Macaca mulatta: one gene and its partner. The protein of the gene in region 1 interacts with the protein of each later gene in a biochemical or structural test. Links are inferred from orthologs where the notes say so. Each region holds a gene or a part of one and is shown on either strand. Other genes may lie near its edges. The genes, in order: TDRD3 and TOP3B.

Region 1 (7,552 bases):
ATTTTATTTTTTAGTCATATGATTTTTGTTGTTGTATTTTTTTTTATTTTTCCAAATATTTTATGACTGGTTGAATCCAAGGATGCAGAACCCACAGATATGGAGGGCCAACTGTATTCTTAAACCTCAAAAAATACAGAATGTACCAGATTTTCAGATAAGCCTAGTACGCAATTAGTTGATTCACTGCAAGGCAAAGATTTATTTGATTCTAACAGGATCACCCCTCAGAATAGGCCCTTTATCTTTCCTCGACTAGGAAAGTAAATTTACACACCACAAAATGCTTCAACCCAATTTTCAATTTTAAAATGTGTCACTTTTGATCAATAATTTAAATTAGATGTGGTCACTTCTGTTAATTTTTGGTGGAAATGAGTACTGAATCTTTACTCTAGACATCTGGGCTCTATTCTTGGTTCTGCCATTTATAACTGAGCAAATTATTGAAAACTCTGTGCTTCAGTTTTCTCATATGTACAAAGAGAGAGTTAAAGCTATGCAACACTGATTCCACGGAAGATACTCTTTTTTTTTTTTTTTTTTTTTTGAGACAGAGTCTTGCTCTGTTGCCCAGGCTGGAGTGCAACGGTGCAATCTCGACTCACTGCAACTTCCGCCTCCTGGGTTCAAGCGATTCTCATGCCTCAGCCTCACCAAGTAGCTGGGATTACAGGAGACTGCCACCACGCCTGGCTAATTTTTTTGTATTTTTAGTAGAAATGGGGTTTCACCATTTTTGCCAGGCAGGTCTCCAACTCCTGCCCACCCGCCTTAGCCTCCCAAAGTGCTGGGATTACAGGCATGAGCCACCACCATGCCCAGCCAGAAGATACCTTTTCAAAAACAAAAACACAACTGATTAGGTACCCCGTGACATGTTTCTGTTAAAAACAAACAAACAAAGGATGAAGATGGAAGAGAAAAATTCAAAATGTCCAGAGATCAACCTTTTAAATCTTTCTCCCACAAGTAGAATTTTGTATTTCCACTCAGAGTGATCAGGGATATCATCCCAAAGGAGAATGAATCTCTGAAGAGAGAAAACAAAAATGCAGAGTGAGTAATACTGTTATCTAGATAAATTCAGAGTCAGATTTCTTTTCCCCATGAAGTTATTCCACTCATATAATTAAGCTTTACAAGGTACCATTTAGTGCATTATTTAAACATAATCACTATACTGTAGAAAACCCTGAAACATTTAAGTTCAAATCAGCAAATCGTTTGTGTGCTACTGGCCATTGAAGAAAAAAAATTATTTTAAGTCTGCCAGGTAGCTACTTTTGAAGCTATATTTTAAAATATTGATTTTTACAGCGGTTCTAATGAAGATTAAAACCTTAAGAAGGAAAAAAATTGCACTTAAAAATAATGGAAACTTGAACAGATTGGTCTACATAGATCTTCTGTACCCCCCTGAAGATCATATTTTCAGAATTGTAAACTTTTCAGCACTAAATATTTCCCTAATCTGCTATTTTAGGTAAAGCCTGTAGAACAGATTTAACAATAGTGTTTCCATGTTTTAGCATCTGTTTCTTTTTAGCTTCTACAAGTAACTACGCACATACATTTGAATACGAAGAAAAATGGTTTGTCAGTGACAGTAACAGAGAACCCCAAGTATAAGAGCAAACTCAGGATGTAAGAACTAAAATGAGCTAGTGAAAGCCCTTCAGTCAGAAATTTTCCTTCCAGTGCTCTTTTCTGCCTTTAAACCTTTGTGATTCTAAATTTTAACATAGTAAGTCCCTAATTAAAGACTTCGTCGAAGCCACCTGAAAGCCTAGGAGATCCTCATGCCTAGTCTGTTCAAGACCTAGCAGGAATTACATGAAACTCACAATTCCTAGAAAGATAGTCTTATTAGCCCCACAGATTACTACTGCCTTTATGAGTTACTGCCACACAGAAGCAGCACAGACAGGTGGGAGAAACATAAACAGATAAGTTGCAATACAAAGTAGCAAATGCTACAATATAACATTGCTGAAGATTTACAACAATATCACAAAGCAGGGTGGGACTCTGCCTAAGCTTCTGCAGAGGCCCTGTCCGGAGAATTCTGACTGGCAGGGGCATTCCAAGGTCAACTGTATTAGACTTTACAAAGAACCTACAATCTGGTGCACTTCTTGACAATCCAGATAAGGAGAAAAATAAGACTCAGTTCCCTGCCCTGGAAGAGCATAAGAGGCCACAGAAAACAAAGTCAGCATGTGTTCGGGACCTAAAAAATGAGACTAATCTTTCCAGAGGAGGCGGGGTCATGTTGGAAAGTAGTAAAATACTGACTTTGTAAATGAAAATATTACTAGTGTGAAGGATCAACGCTCAATCTAATGATAAATGGGGAGAAAGGCAAATGAAAGAGCGACCCAAGATAATTCAGGACACCCCTGTGGGTAAAAAAAACTAAAAGAAGAGATTCCTATTTAACAAAAACAAAACTGAAGCCAGTGAGTTTTTAACTCTACAATCTTTTACGCCAATGCTGTTCTGTGAAAAAACTATAGGAACAATAACGCATAAGAGTTAAAGGAACCAGGACCAGAGCCAGGCCCTCTGTGCTCAACATTCAACTCCACCACTTTCTAGCTATGTCACTTCGGGAAAGTTACTTAACAGCTCTTTGCCTCAGTCTCCTCACCTGTAAAATGGGGTGTTTAACAACACAAGGGCCTTTAAAACCAGGAAGGGCTTCTTCAAAACACAGTTGTGATTATATCCCTCCACTGATCAAAAACTTTATTCACAAAATCAAATCCACATCTTTCACGAACCATACAGATCTTGTGTAGGTTCTGCAAAACAATAAGCGCTTCCCAGTCTCTAGCAGCTCTGTGCTAGAAAGCCTTTTCCTTACCATCTTCCCAAGTCCACTTCAGGAAATTAACTCTCCCTCCCATTCCACAGTGCACTCATCTGTTACTCTGTACATACGGTTTACCACTATTCCCCCTGGTTTTGTTTGGTCTTTTAATGCCTCACTCTTTCTTCCAAAGCAGTAATTGCAGAGAGCCAAGGCAAATCTTTTTCATCCCCGTTCCTACCCTTCATCCCAGAATGTGCCTGTGCAAGTCTGGGAAAAGCGTTACTGAATTAAACCGGATGATTACAACCGTAATGGCCGCAATTCCAGAAACTGCCTAACTTCACATAATTCTGTATTGTTTTCAAATCCTGAAAATCTTGACACGAAAGGCCTCTTAAATTCAGAACACCATCCTTTCAAGAAAAGTTCTACCGAGCACCCCCCACGAGTTGACAATGCGGTCATTCTTAGCTCCAGAAGTTGTGTGTGTGACGCGGAGGGCAGCTTCACACTGGTCCACACTATACTTTGAAATAAGGGGCAAGAAGAGGCGGCTCCGACCGCAGCGCAGGCTGTGTGCCGCTCTGCCCTCAACTTCCTATGGGCCCGCGGGCTCCGCCGCGTTGGTCCCTCTGCTCCGCACTTCGTTCCCAGCCTTCGCCTCCCCTTGTCCCGCCGCAGAAACACCCCCTCCCCGGAGCGGCAGCGCGAAGGCGCTGCAGGTCCTCTCCGGCGCTCCACTCGGCCGGGGTCTGGGCCGCCACCCGCCCGGCTCGCGGCCCCCGGCCTCTCCCCAGGCCCGCCGCCCGCCGCCCGAGGCCCAGGCCGCTGCCGCCGCCGCCTCGAGGGGACACAGGGGGACTCGCTGGGCTCGCGTGGCGCCGGGGGCGGAGCCGGCCCGGAGGGCCCGGGGAGAGGCCGGGGGCGGACAGCAGCCTCCGCCTACCCCGACACGTACCCCGCCGCCCCCAACCCAAGCTCCTCGGGGCCCCGGCCCGCGCCAGCGGCCCGGCAGCCGGCGGGACTCGCCACTTACCAACCCGCCTGGGACAACGCCGCGTTGGCCACCTGGGCCATGGTAGCTGCTTAAGCCGGGGGTGGTGGGGGGTTGGGGTGGGGGTGGTGGGGAGGCCTCCTACTTGAGACCCCCCCCCCAAAAAAAAAAAAGAAAGAAAAGAAAAAACTCCTCTGGTCGGCTCTGCAACTGGGCATGCTCAGTGCGGCCGGCGCTTCCGCGTGCGGGTTCCGCTCGCCGCGTTTTCTGAGCGGCCGTAGGGGCCGGCCTGGTGTGGGGCTTCCAGGCTGCCGAGCTCCAGGACCTGATCCACCAAACACGGGCCGGCGGCTAGGGTCAGGATAGCTCAGGGACTTTGCCTCTTCCCCGAAGGTTTTTACTTGTTTTGGGGGGCACTCTTCTGAGTTGCACACCTTGGAAAGTCGTGAGGAGGTTCTTCGTAGAGCAAAAGTGTGGCGTTTGCAGCGCCGACAGGCGGCCACCTCAGAGAGGGCAGGATAAGGCCTGAGGAGACTGACGGGTTGGCTGCGAGGGAGCGCGTCCAGGATGGCGCTAAAAAGGTCACGTTGCGGGAAGCCAAACTCGGAGGTGTCCCCAGCCCATTCTACACGAAAGTTTACTTTTTTATAAAGACTCGTTCCCTTCCCCTCGCCTTTTGGTCCGCCGGGACGCAAAGAAAAAATGCAGCTCAGCCTTGAGTCCCCACGGGCAGATCGAGTTGCCCAAGTCGGACACCACAGTGAAAATGACTGGTCAGCCCAAGAAAACCTGCTCTTAGGGAATATGGGGAAATGGGGCGGTTGTGTCAGTGCTTGTTTTTCCTGTTGCCCTCCCCCTGGGACTATCCGTGTCCCAGCGCGGCCCTGAGACCTTAGCTCTGTACTGCCGCGTCCGGCAACCACAGCCGCCTCCCCGCCGGTGCCCTTCGCCAGCGCTCCAGAGGGCTGGGGCGCGGGGTGGGTCCCTGAGTGGGCATGCGCGGCGCCGTCGCCGAGCGGCACGGCGGACGCTGCCGTGCGATTGGGCGTCCGTGACTCACGCTGGCCAATCAGAGAGGAACAGGAGGAAGGGTACAGGCGCTCCCTGAAAGATTGCTCCACCCTCTTGGTCTTTCACTTCTGCGGCGTCCAGTAGGGCTGGCAAAGAGACTTTTGAGGGGTACTGTCCCCAGCTGCCAGGTCGGGAGAAGACTGTTACGAACTTAACCCCAGCTCCGCCGCTTGCCGCTGCTGCTTCTAAGGGCATCATCAAAAAGAGACTTGGAGCAGAGACTGCGGAACTGGGCAGAGGCGCTCTTGGGATTGGGGAGGAAATTGACAGTTACGGAAGGAAGGGGATAATTGCCCAGGGTGGAGCTAAAATTCCTTAATACAGATTTTTCTCATTTCAGCTGGGATATTCCGTTTGGTCTTCCCAAAAGTCATAGATATAAAATCGCGATGCTTTCCTTAGATGGAATGTATTGAGATTTGCTCCCAGGCATATCGTTTAGATAATTTTAAATCAGAAGTAGCTCCATGCTGTTCGCTACAATGTGCCGTAGTATGTAGTGTTTAGGTGATAAGTATACTACAGGTATATTTCAATTTATAGTCATCGGCCATCATATCCAGGAACCAGGAATAGATATGCCTTTTTAAATGTAAGTAGATGACTCAAAAATAAATTGCCAATAATTTTTATTGGTGGTTAGAATTTTCTCTTACCAATTATTTACATTTTGCAGTTAGTGTAACCTGTTAACTATGAAAATGATAAGTTGTCCCAATCATCAGAATTGCTCACTGGTTATAAAGCCATTTGTTCTCACATGCCATGTGATTCAGTAAGGATTTACCACTGCATGGTCCTTACAATAATAAAATACTCCACAAAATACTAAATTCCCTTCAAGAATGGGATTTTTACTGGAGAAATGTGGGACAAATGAGCATCCAAAAAATGGTGACAATAATTGATGAAACACATTGAATTTCTTCGGAGTGCCACGAAAAATAAAAGGGAAGGAGGACAAAACCTTTTCTTTCAGCGGAATACAAGATAGTAAATGCAGAACAAATGATAGAATTAGAAAAATCACAATTTTCCAAGTCAACCACAATTGTTTCAGGAAAATTTATCAGAAGATACTAAAAGTCACAGGGTAAAAGACTAGGAGTACAGGATCTTCACATGGTCTCAAAGTATCAAGCCATAACTTATTACAGAAGGGAAAATGTACCTTATCTTGAAAAAAAAAAAAACCCTGCCTTAAGAGATCAAAGCTAGAATCACTAATAATGGGACACTCTAATGTAATCTGCCTACTGATGTAATGCAATTAGACATACACATCACTTAAGAAGTATTCTTGCCAAAATTGTTTAACCTGAATTTAACCAAGCTTCTGGACAGTGGATCCTAAACTAACCCCCACATCCCCAAATCCATTTAGCAATGTCTGGGTTGTCACAATCTGAGGAGGTAGGAGTATTGTTATGCATCTCATGGGATGCAGCAGGAATACTGCTAAATATCCTACAAAGCACAGGACATCCCTGAACTCCAAAGAATGATCTGACCCAGAATGTCAGTAATGCTAAGGTCTAGATGTAAGAAGAAATGTAAAGGACGTATAGGTGATATTTGAGCAAGTTAAACATGAAGACGCAGGCACATAAATCCACAATGAGGCATATTCTCCTCTGGCCTAGACTGTTAAAATGTAATTTAAGGTTTTTTTTTTTTTTTTTTAATTGAGAGGGGTGTTTCGCTCTGTCGCCGAGACTGGGTTTCACCGTGTTAGCCAGGATGGTCTCCATCTCCTGACCTCGTGATCCGACCTCATGATCCACCCGCCTCGGCCTCCCAAAGTGCTGGGATTACAGGCGTGAGCCCCCGCACCTGGCCAGAAATAATTATTTAAAAAAAAAAAAAATAAGGTCGGGCGCGGTGGCAGGCACCTGTAGTCCCAGCTACTGGGGAGGCTGAGGCAGGAGAATGGCGTGAACCCGGGAAGCGGAGCTGGCAGTGAGCCGAGATTGCGCCACTGCACTCCAGCCTGGGCGACAGAGTGAGACTCCATCTCAAAAAAAAAAAAAGAAAAAAGAAAAGAAAAGAATTATTTCAAATTTAAGAGATGCAAGAGGCATGAAAACAAAATTCAATCCTGGATCTAAAAAATAAATGAAAAAATAATTACTGGTGGCCAGTTGCAGAAATTTGAATCTGGACTAGATATTGGATAGTATAATGGAATTATGGTTTTCTTAAGTGTGATAATGTTATTGTCCTTCAATTGAGAATTTTATGTCAAAACATTTATGGATGAAGAAGAATTGGATCTACAAGTTATTTGCAAATGATTCAGAGAAAAACATTTGTAAAATATATAAAACATATAAACATAGATACATGTATATAGGTAAGAAAGAGAAAGGAGGCTGAGGCAGGAGAGTTGCTTGAACCTGGGAGGCGGAAGTTGCAGTGAGCCCAGATCGCGCCACTGCACTCCAGCCTGGAGACAGAGCGGGACTCCGTCTCCAAAAAAAAAAAAAAAGAAAGAGAAAAAAGAGAGAAAAGAGGTAAATATGGCAAAATATTAAAAATGGGTGAATCAGTTGGAGAAGGGTCCAAATGTTTATGTTTTTTTTTCTCTAGGTTTGAAATTTTCCAAAATAAAAAGAAGTGTGGATTACACTAATTTCACATCAAAAATTTTAAATTGGAATTATATTCTG
Region 2 (7,433 bases), on another chromosome or scaffold:
GGCCCCAGCAAGCAGAGGCACAACTGACCACCTTTAATACAGCCGATGCAGTTAAAAATATCTATGGAATTTCAAAATAAAGGGAGGGGAGAGGTGTTTTTAAACCAGTACAGTTTACTCCCTCCTTTGGCCCCAGGAATGGTGTGACTGCTGGTGTCAGTCTGGGGCTGGCGTCAGAAAGGCCAAAAGTGAGGACCAAACTGAGCCTCATACTCACCTCAAAGCAGATGTTCTCCCCCTCCTTGTCGCAGTCCAGCCACAGCACGATGTAGTCGCAGCCTCTGCCCTCCACCTGCCACACAGCACACGTTCACATGCACCTGCTGCAGACCCAGCCCATGCCACCTGCCCCGTGCTCCCATCCAGGACAGGGCTTGGTCCCAGGCCCTGAACCTCAGCTAGGACGACTGGTACCTGGGCTCAGGTAGGAGGACTGGTAGCTGGCTGTGGTGAGGCTGGCTCAGCCAACAGCAAACAATTGAGTTTATAATTGATGTTTTTTGGACCAAAAAAAAAAAAAAAGTGTAAGTGCAACATGATCTTAAACCCCAAAACTGCCCAGAAAAAGGGTTCCAATGAAATAACCCTAAATGATAACAGCAGTTGTCTTGGCTAATATGATTATGAATAATTTTTTTGTCTTTATACTTATCTGCACTTTCTAATTTTCCATAATCTGTATGCATTTGTTTTAAAATTAAGGGGAAAAAACCCCCAGCCAAACAAGCTTTTTTTTTTTTTTTTTTGAGACGGAGTCTCGCTCTGTCGCTCAGGCTGGAGCACAGTGGCGCGATCTCGGTTCACTGCAAGCTCCGCCTCCCTGGGTCATGCCATTCTCCTGCCTCAGCCTCACCAGTAGCTGGGACTACAGGCGCCCGCCACCACACCTGGCTAATTTTTTGTATTTTTAGTGGAGATGGGGTTTCACCGTGTAAGCCAGGCTGGTCTTGAACTCCTGACCTCAGGTGATCTGCCCACCTCGGCCTCCCAAAGTGCTGGGATTACAGGCGTGAGCCACTGCGCCCGGCCCAAACAAGCTATTTTAAAAGCAGAAGGCCTGCTCTCCAGGACTGAGGGTTGGCACTGGCAACTGCCTTGTGTGTTGGGGGTGCCTGCAGGTGCCTCATGGGCCAGCAGGGGGCACTCACAGAAAGAGCTAGCAAAGGCCCCCCTGTCCAAGGGGGATTAGGACTCACGCAAGGGTGGGCAAGGACAGCTGTGGAGGGTGGGGAGCCCGGGTGTGCTCATGCCCAGGCCAGCCCCACGCACCTGCAGGAACTTCACCATGTTCAGCTTGGGGTTAGCTTCCTTCTTCTCCGTGGGAGCTTGGCTGAACAGTTCTGCGGGGTCCACTTTGTCCCATTTGTTGTATTTTCCTACAAACCAGTCACAGTGACATTGAGTCACACCTCACAGTTCACAGGGGCTCAACCTCCGAGACCATCATAACCCCAGGATGATGTTGGTTTCATCCCACAAATGAGGAGGGGAAAGCTTGGAGAACAATTTGCCCAGGGTCATCATGATGATCAGAGGCAGAGCCAGGATGTGGGTTCAGGCCTTTGGTAACCCCCTTCCCTCCAGCCTCCTTTCTGCTCGGCTGCTGAGCTGACACCACACTCCGGCCAACCACAGGAGCCAAGCAAGCTCTCCGGGGGCTGCCACTCTGGCCTCACTTCCGGGACTTTCCCTGTGGCTGGGAGCATCATTCCTGGGCTGGCTTTCTTTGCCTGAGCACTGGACCCCACCACTGGTGTCTTCATTGACACTTCCAACCTGAGTTTCTGGAACTCCATCCTTCCACCCAGCACTCTGTGGGGGCACACATGTGCGCAGTCATTCCTGTTAAAGGACCCATCTTTTTGAGCCTCATGCCCAGCACATTCACCTACTCATCTACAGAGGCCCAGTTCTTGCATGCTCAGCTGTCTGGCTTTCTTTTTTTTTTCTTTTTTTTTTTTTTTTTGAGACGGAGTCTCGCTCTGCCGCCCAGGCTGGAGTGCAGTGGCCGGATCTCAGCTCACTGCAAGCTCCGCCTCCCGGGTTCACGCCATTCTCCTGCCTCAGCCTCCCGAGTAGTTGGGACTACAGGCGCCCGCCACTGCGCCCGGCTAGTTTTTTGTATTTTTTAGTAGAGACGGGGTTTCACCGTGTTAGCCAGGATGGTCTCGATCTCCTGACCTCGTGATCCGCCCATCTCGGCCTCCCAAAGTGCTGGGATTACAGGCTTGAGCCACCGCGCCCGGCCTGTCTGGCTTTCTTTTAGGCCCATTTCTTTTTTTTTCTGAGACAGGGGTCTCGCTCTGTCATCCAGGATGAAGTACAGTGATACGATCATGGCTAACTGCAGTCTCGACCTCCCAGCCTCAATCCATCTTCCCACTTCAGCCTCCCAAGACTACAGGTGCGCACCACCATGTCGGCTGATTTAAAAAGATTTTTTTTTTTTTGTAGAGACAGGGGTCTCACTATGTTGTCCAGACTGGTCTTGAACTCCTGGGCTCAGGCGATCCTCCTAGGCCCCATTTCTTGCATCCTGGGAGAATGGGGTCAGACAGAGCCAAATTCAAATCCCAGCTCCCCACCTGTCAGCTGGAGATAAAACTTGGGGTCCAAATGCTCAGCCACACAACCCAGTCACCATCATTGTCATCACTGTCATCAATGAGCAGCAAGAACAAGGGCTGAGGCTTTGCCGTGTGCTCTGCCAAGTGCCAAGTGCTCTGCCCTCACTGTCACACAGAATCCTTACAGTCTTGGGAAGCAGATGGCATTGCTGTGAGACCCATTTCACTACGAGAAGTGTAAACTCACAGAGGCTGTCAGTGCCCTCGTCTCCAGCCAGTGAGCTGGCAGAGCAGGGGGAAGAGCCTGGATCAGACTCTTGCCAACCACACGGCCCCACACCTATACCCAGCAGGTCACTAACACCAGCACTTCCAAAGTAATTGATAACAGTAACAATATAGGAATGACAATGACAGCCACCAAATGACCGACAGACGATGGTCAACTCGGCAACAGCAGCAGGCTTCTCTCAAATGCCTGCACAGGTCAAGCCCTTCCTAAGATAGGTGCCGCCACTTTGTCTACATAGGACGGTGCACAGGGAATGCAGTGACTAGGGGGTGCTGCTATGATGGGGACCCAGGGCTGAGCTCCAGAGCCTGGGTTCTGGGCACCGCACCCAGGAACCCTCTCATCACCACTCCATGATCTGCTGGCCTGATGACTCATGGAGTTGGGACAAACTTCCCTGCCTAGAGGAATCTCCTGGCTTCAACTGGACCCCGGCCAGCGCCACGCAGAACTCCCTTCTGTAGGATGGAGGGTAGAGGGGCTTACCCAGGAAATCCAGGGTCATCACGTGACCACAGACAGACGTCATCTTGAAGCGCACTGGCTGGCCAGCAAAGGTCCCAGTGTACTCGTGGACTGAACAGGCCCCGTTCAGCCCTTTATGTGAGGACAGGCTCCCTGGGGATGAGGAAGCACAAAGTGACTGGCTGCTTCACTGAGCTGAAGACACTGTGGAGACCCCGGCCTGGATGCCACCTCCCAGAGGGCCAGCGTCCTTCCTCAGAGTGGTGAGTGACAGCATTCCGCAGACTGCTGAGGGTAATTGGGCACTAAGAGATGGGACGGCACTCAGGGAAAACAGCATCTGCCAACAACCTAGCACAGAGCACTCTTGATGCAGAGCCCCAGGCTGCCAGGAGCCAGGGGCAGGCAGGCAGAGGTGGGATCTTCCTCTGTATTTATGTTTTCACTCTTCAATTCCATTTTTGCCTCACTTCATTGAAACGTTATTCATCATTTACTAAAATGGGACTCTAGATCTACTCTAGGTTACCAGGGACCTTCTAATTATTGAATTCTCACCCTCTCCACTGACCACACTCAGCCGTACTTTCTCAGGTTCTGGGCACCGGGCACCACTTTTGGGGCCTCCCGTCCTCTGCGGACCATGCCTTCTCAGCTGAACGAGGGTCTCTTCCCCCCTCAGCTGCTGGAGCCAGGGGAGGTCAGGTAGGTGCCTGTCATTTCTGGGTACCCAGCATCCAAACTCTTCCTATTTGGAGGGAATTCAAAGATGGGGGGAAACAGCACCCTACCAACCACCCCAGTGGCCAGAGTTGGGGGTGAGTGGCAGACATTCCCTCTCCAGTTCCCTGGTGTCTCAGTAGTGTCTGTGGCCACAGCTCAGTCCATTGGCTACTCTGGAGTGACGTGAGGTCCACAGGACAGTGGGAGTATCCAGGGATGACGATGCCTGGGGCATAGCCTCATCAGACCTCAACTGGGGTGTGGTCCTGGCTGTGTCTCCTTCCTTCCAGGGCTGGTTTCTGCTACCTGTACCTAACAGCCCTGCCAGGCCCGGCATGTGGACAATGACTGTCCTTCCACTTCATTGTAAGCTGTGCCTTGTGCCTTCTGGGAACCCCAGCTTTGGCACACTGCCAGGAATGGAAGCAAATGCACCCCACTGTGACATTCTGAGATGCTTCATTACCACCTGCTGACCGAACCAATCTACCCCAGCCAGGGTAGAGTCACATTAGGAAAAAGAAATGTCCTGTAACACATAAACGGCCGTGCTTACAGACCAAAGCAAGAAAGCATGCGCAGGGCTGGTCTCTCCTACCTCTAGAGAGGATTTTGGCAATTGACTGTGCCAAGGACGGCTTTTCGGCAACCATGAGCACAGTCTTCATCTTGTCTCAGCCCTTTACGCTCCAGTTTCGGGGCAGTGGCAGTGAAAAAGTTTACACTCCACTCTTCTGCAGCACAGCACTATTATCAATGCTGACCCCTAAAGAGAAGAAAAGACACTCAGGATAGCAATGCTGTCAAAAGAACCTATACCACTACAAGGAAACTCACTTTAACAAAGAAAAAACAAGACCAACCTGAGGCAAGAAGAAGAAAAATTAGGGAATTAGGGACACCTGAAGACATCTGAGATTAAAAAAACAAAAACAAAAACAAAACTACCAGGTCAACTGAAGTGGCTGAGATAATCCTGGGAATCTGGCTCCTTAGGTCCATTTGATTCCTAAATCCATGCTAGGAAGATGCCGGGACCTGGGGATCTCCAGTGATGGGTCAGGCCGGGTGGATGCCTGGCCCTCCTCTCTGGACTGGCTCTTCCACCTACAGGTGGACTCACCTGGAGAGAGGAACCATCATGGCCGAGAGCAGCACCACCCCCTCAGCTAAGCACTTGGATGCCCCAGGACACTTTACAAAATGCAGATGTCCAGGCTGGGCTCCCCAGGTCCTTCTGATCCATGATGGGCCTGAGACCCTCTGGCTAGTCGGTCCAGCACCAAGCAGATATCAGGGCTCTGTCACATCTATCTCCCACCTATTCCACTCCACCTTTTGCTTTGCAGGCCATGCTCTGGCCAAATTAAATCAAATATCATCATTTAAGCAAACACTCACTTGAAGCCTCTGTGCCTGCGCTCCCCTGCCTGAGAGAAAGCTCCACCAGGCCTGGAGGGTGCAGCTGGACGGCCCACAGGCCCAGCTCAAGTCTCCCAACACCACCGGCAGGATAAGTCAGCCCTCCTGTGCTCACGGTTCTTGGGCTAGGTCACCATTCCAACCCACTCACATTATGCCATCATCAGCGACTACCTCACCCCCGAAATAGGACATGATGGACTTTGTTCTGAATCACTGTTGGTCTTTGCAACAGCTTTCTGTGCCTGACACATGACATTCAATACTTGCTAGCCAAGTAAAAGAAAACCACATGAACCCTTTTTGTTTTTTCAATCATTATAAATGTAGCACTGATGTTTATAAACATAGCATTGTAGGCCGGGCGCGGTGGCTCAAGCCTGTAATCCCAGCACTTTGGGAGGCCGAGACGGGCGGATCACAAGGTCAGGAGATCGAGACCATCCTGGCTAACAAGGCGAAACCCCGTCTCTACTAAAAACACAAAAAATTAGCCGGGCGAGGTGGCGGCGCCTGTGGTCCCAGCTACTCGGGAGGCTGAGGCAGGAGAATGGCGGGAACCCGGGAGGCGGAGCTTGCAGTGAGCTGAGATCTGGCCACTGCACTCCAGCCTGGGCGACAGAGCGAGACTCCGTCTCAAAAAAAAACAAAAAACAAAAAACAAAAAACAAAAAACATAGCATTGTATTTAAAAAAGAAAAAAAGACTTGTATTGAGACAACTGGGAAACCTGCTGGGAAAAAAAATAAAGTTAGACTCCTGTTTCCTAACTCCCACTAAAACCGATTCCAGATCTAGCAAAGGTTTGAGTAGAAACAATGAAACCAGAAAAATATTAGGAAAAACATGTGCTTTTAAAATAAATCTCATGAGCCGGGTGTGGTAGCACATGCCTATAGTGTCAGCCACTCAGGAGGCTGAGGCAAGAGGATCGCTTGCTTGAGGCCAGGAGTTCAAGGCTGTTGTGTGCCATGACTACACCTGCAGATAGAACAGCCACTTCACTGCAGCCTAGGTGACAGCAAGACCCTGTCTCAAAAAAAATAAAAGCAAAATAAAATAATCTCCGCATGAAGAAAAACCACCACCTAGATGGGCACGGTGGCTCACTCCTGTAATCCCGGCACTTTGGGAGGCCGAGGCGGGCGGATTACTTGAAGTCAGGAATTTCAAACCAGCCTGGCCAACATGGCAAAACCCCGTCTCTAATAAAAATACAAAAATTAGCCAGGTGTGGTGCTGGGTGCCTGTAATCCCAGCTACTTGAGAGGCTGAGGCATGAGAATTGCTTGAACTCAGGAAGCGGAGGTTGCAGTGAGCCGAGATCATGCCATTGCACTCCAGCCTGTGCAGTACAGTGAGACTCCATCTCAAAAAAAACAAAACAAAACAACAACCACGTAAATACCTTTGTGGTATCACATCATGTCCAACAACACTCACGGAAGAAACTCAGAACTATAATGAGCTTGTGCTTATCATATAGGGAGAGACTCAAAGTCGTTGCACACACAGCAGACGAGGGTGTGGGGAAGTTAAATGGGAACAACCTCTATGTGTAGCAATTCAGCGATCCCTCTCAAAGTACAAGTGCACATCCCAGCAATTCCACTCCTTGGAATGAACGTAATAGTCCAGTTATTTATTGAGCACCTACTACATGCTTGGCCTAGTCCAGGATGCAGGGAACACAGCACAAAGCAACACCAGGTCCTGCCCTCCCAGAACGCGTGCTGTAGTATGGGAGCAGGGGAGGGACAGGGCAGGGCTGGGTGACACCTAGGAGAAGAGTCCAGGCAGGAGCAGGGAAGGTGAGGTCCTTGGGGAGGAGATGGGAGGGACATGGGAGAGGGAGGGGAAGGTGAGTCAAGAATGATCTGAGGCAGGGGCTGGGCATGGGCTCGCACCTGCCATGGGCTCACATCTGTAATCCTAGTGCTTTGGGAGGCCAAGGCAAGAGGACC

What was found.
Region 2: the proteins of TDRD3 (region 1) and TOP3B form a complex in vitro, tested with the Homo sapiens proteins (2 studies listed by BioGRID and IntAct, with this or other methods). The link is inferred for Macaca mulatta from reciprocal best matches to the Homo sapiens genes TDRD3 and TOP3B.

What each region holds. Positions count from the first base shown.
Region 1 is NC_133422.1:39,861,377-39,868,928, reverse strand, and holds the start of TDRD3 (tudor domain-containing protein 3), read right to left. Parts: upstream 4,035-7,552; 5' UTR 3,896-4,034; coding exon of another isoform or gene 3,855-3,895; intron 1-3,854. UniProt on the Homo sapiens protein: Scaffolding protein that specifically recognizes and binds dimethylarginine-containing proteins. Plays a role in the regulation of translation of target mRNAs by binding Arg/Gly-rich motifs (GAR) in dimethylarginine-containing proteins.
Region 2 is NC_133415.1:31,015,250-31,022,682, reverse strand, and holds the start of TOP3B (DNA topoisomerase 3-beta-1), read right to left. Parts: upstream 4,812-7,433; 5' UTR 4,716-4,811; coding exon 4,646-4,715; intron 3,478-4,645; coding exon 3,346-3,477; intron 1,377-3,345; coding exon 1,270-1,376; intron 293-1,269; coding exon 218-292; intron 1-217. UniProt on the Homo sapiens protein: Releases the supercoiling and torsional tension of DNA introduced during the DNA replication and transcription by transiently cleaving and rejoining one strand of the DNA duplex.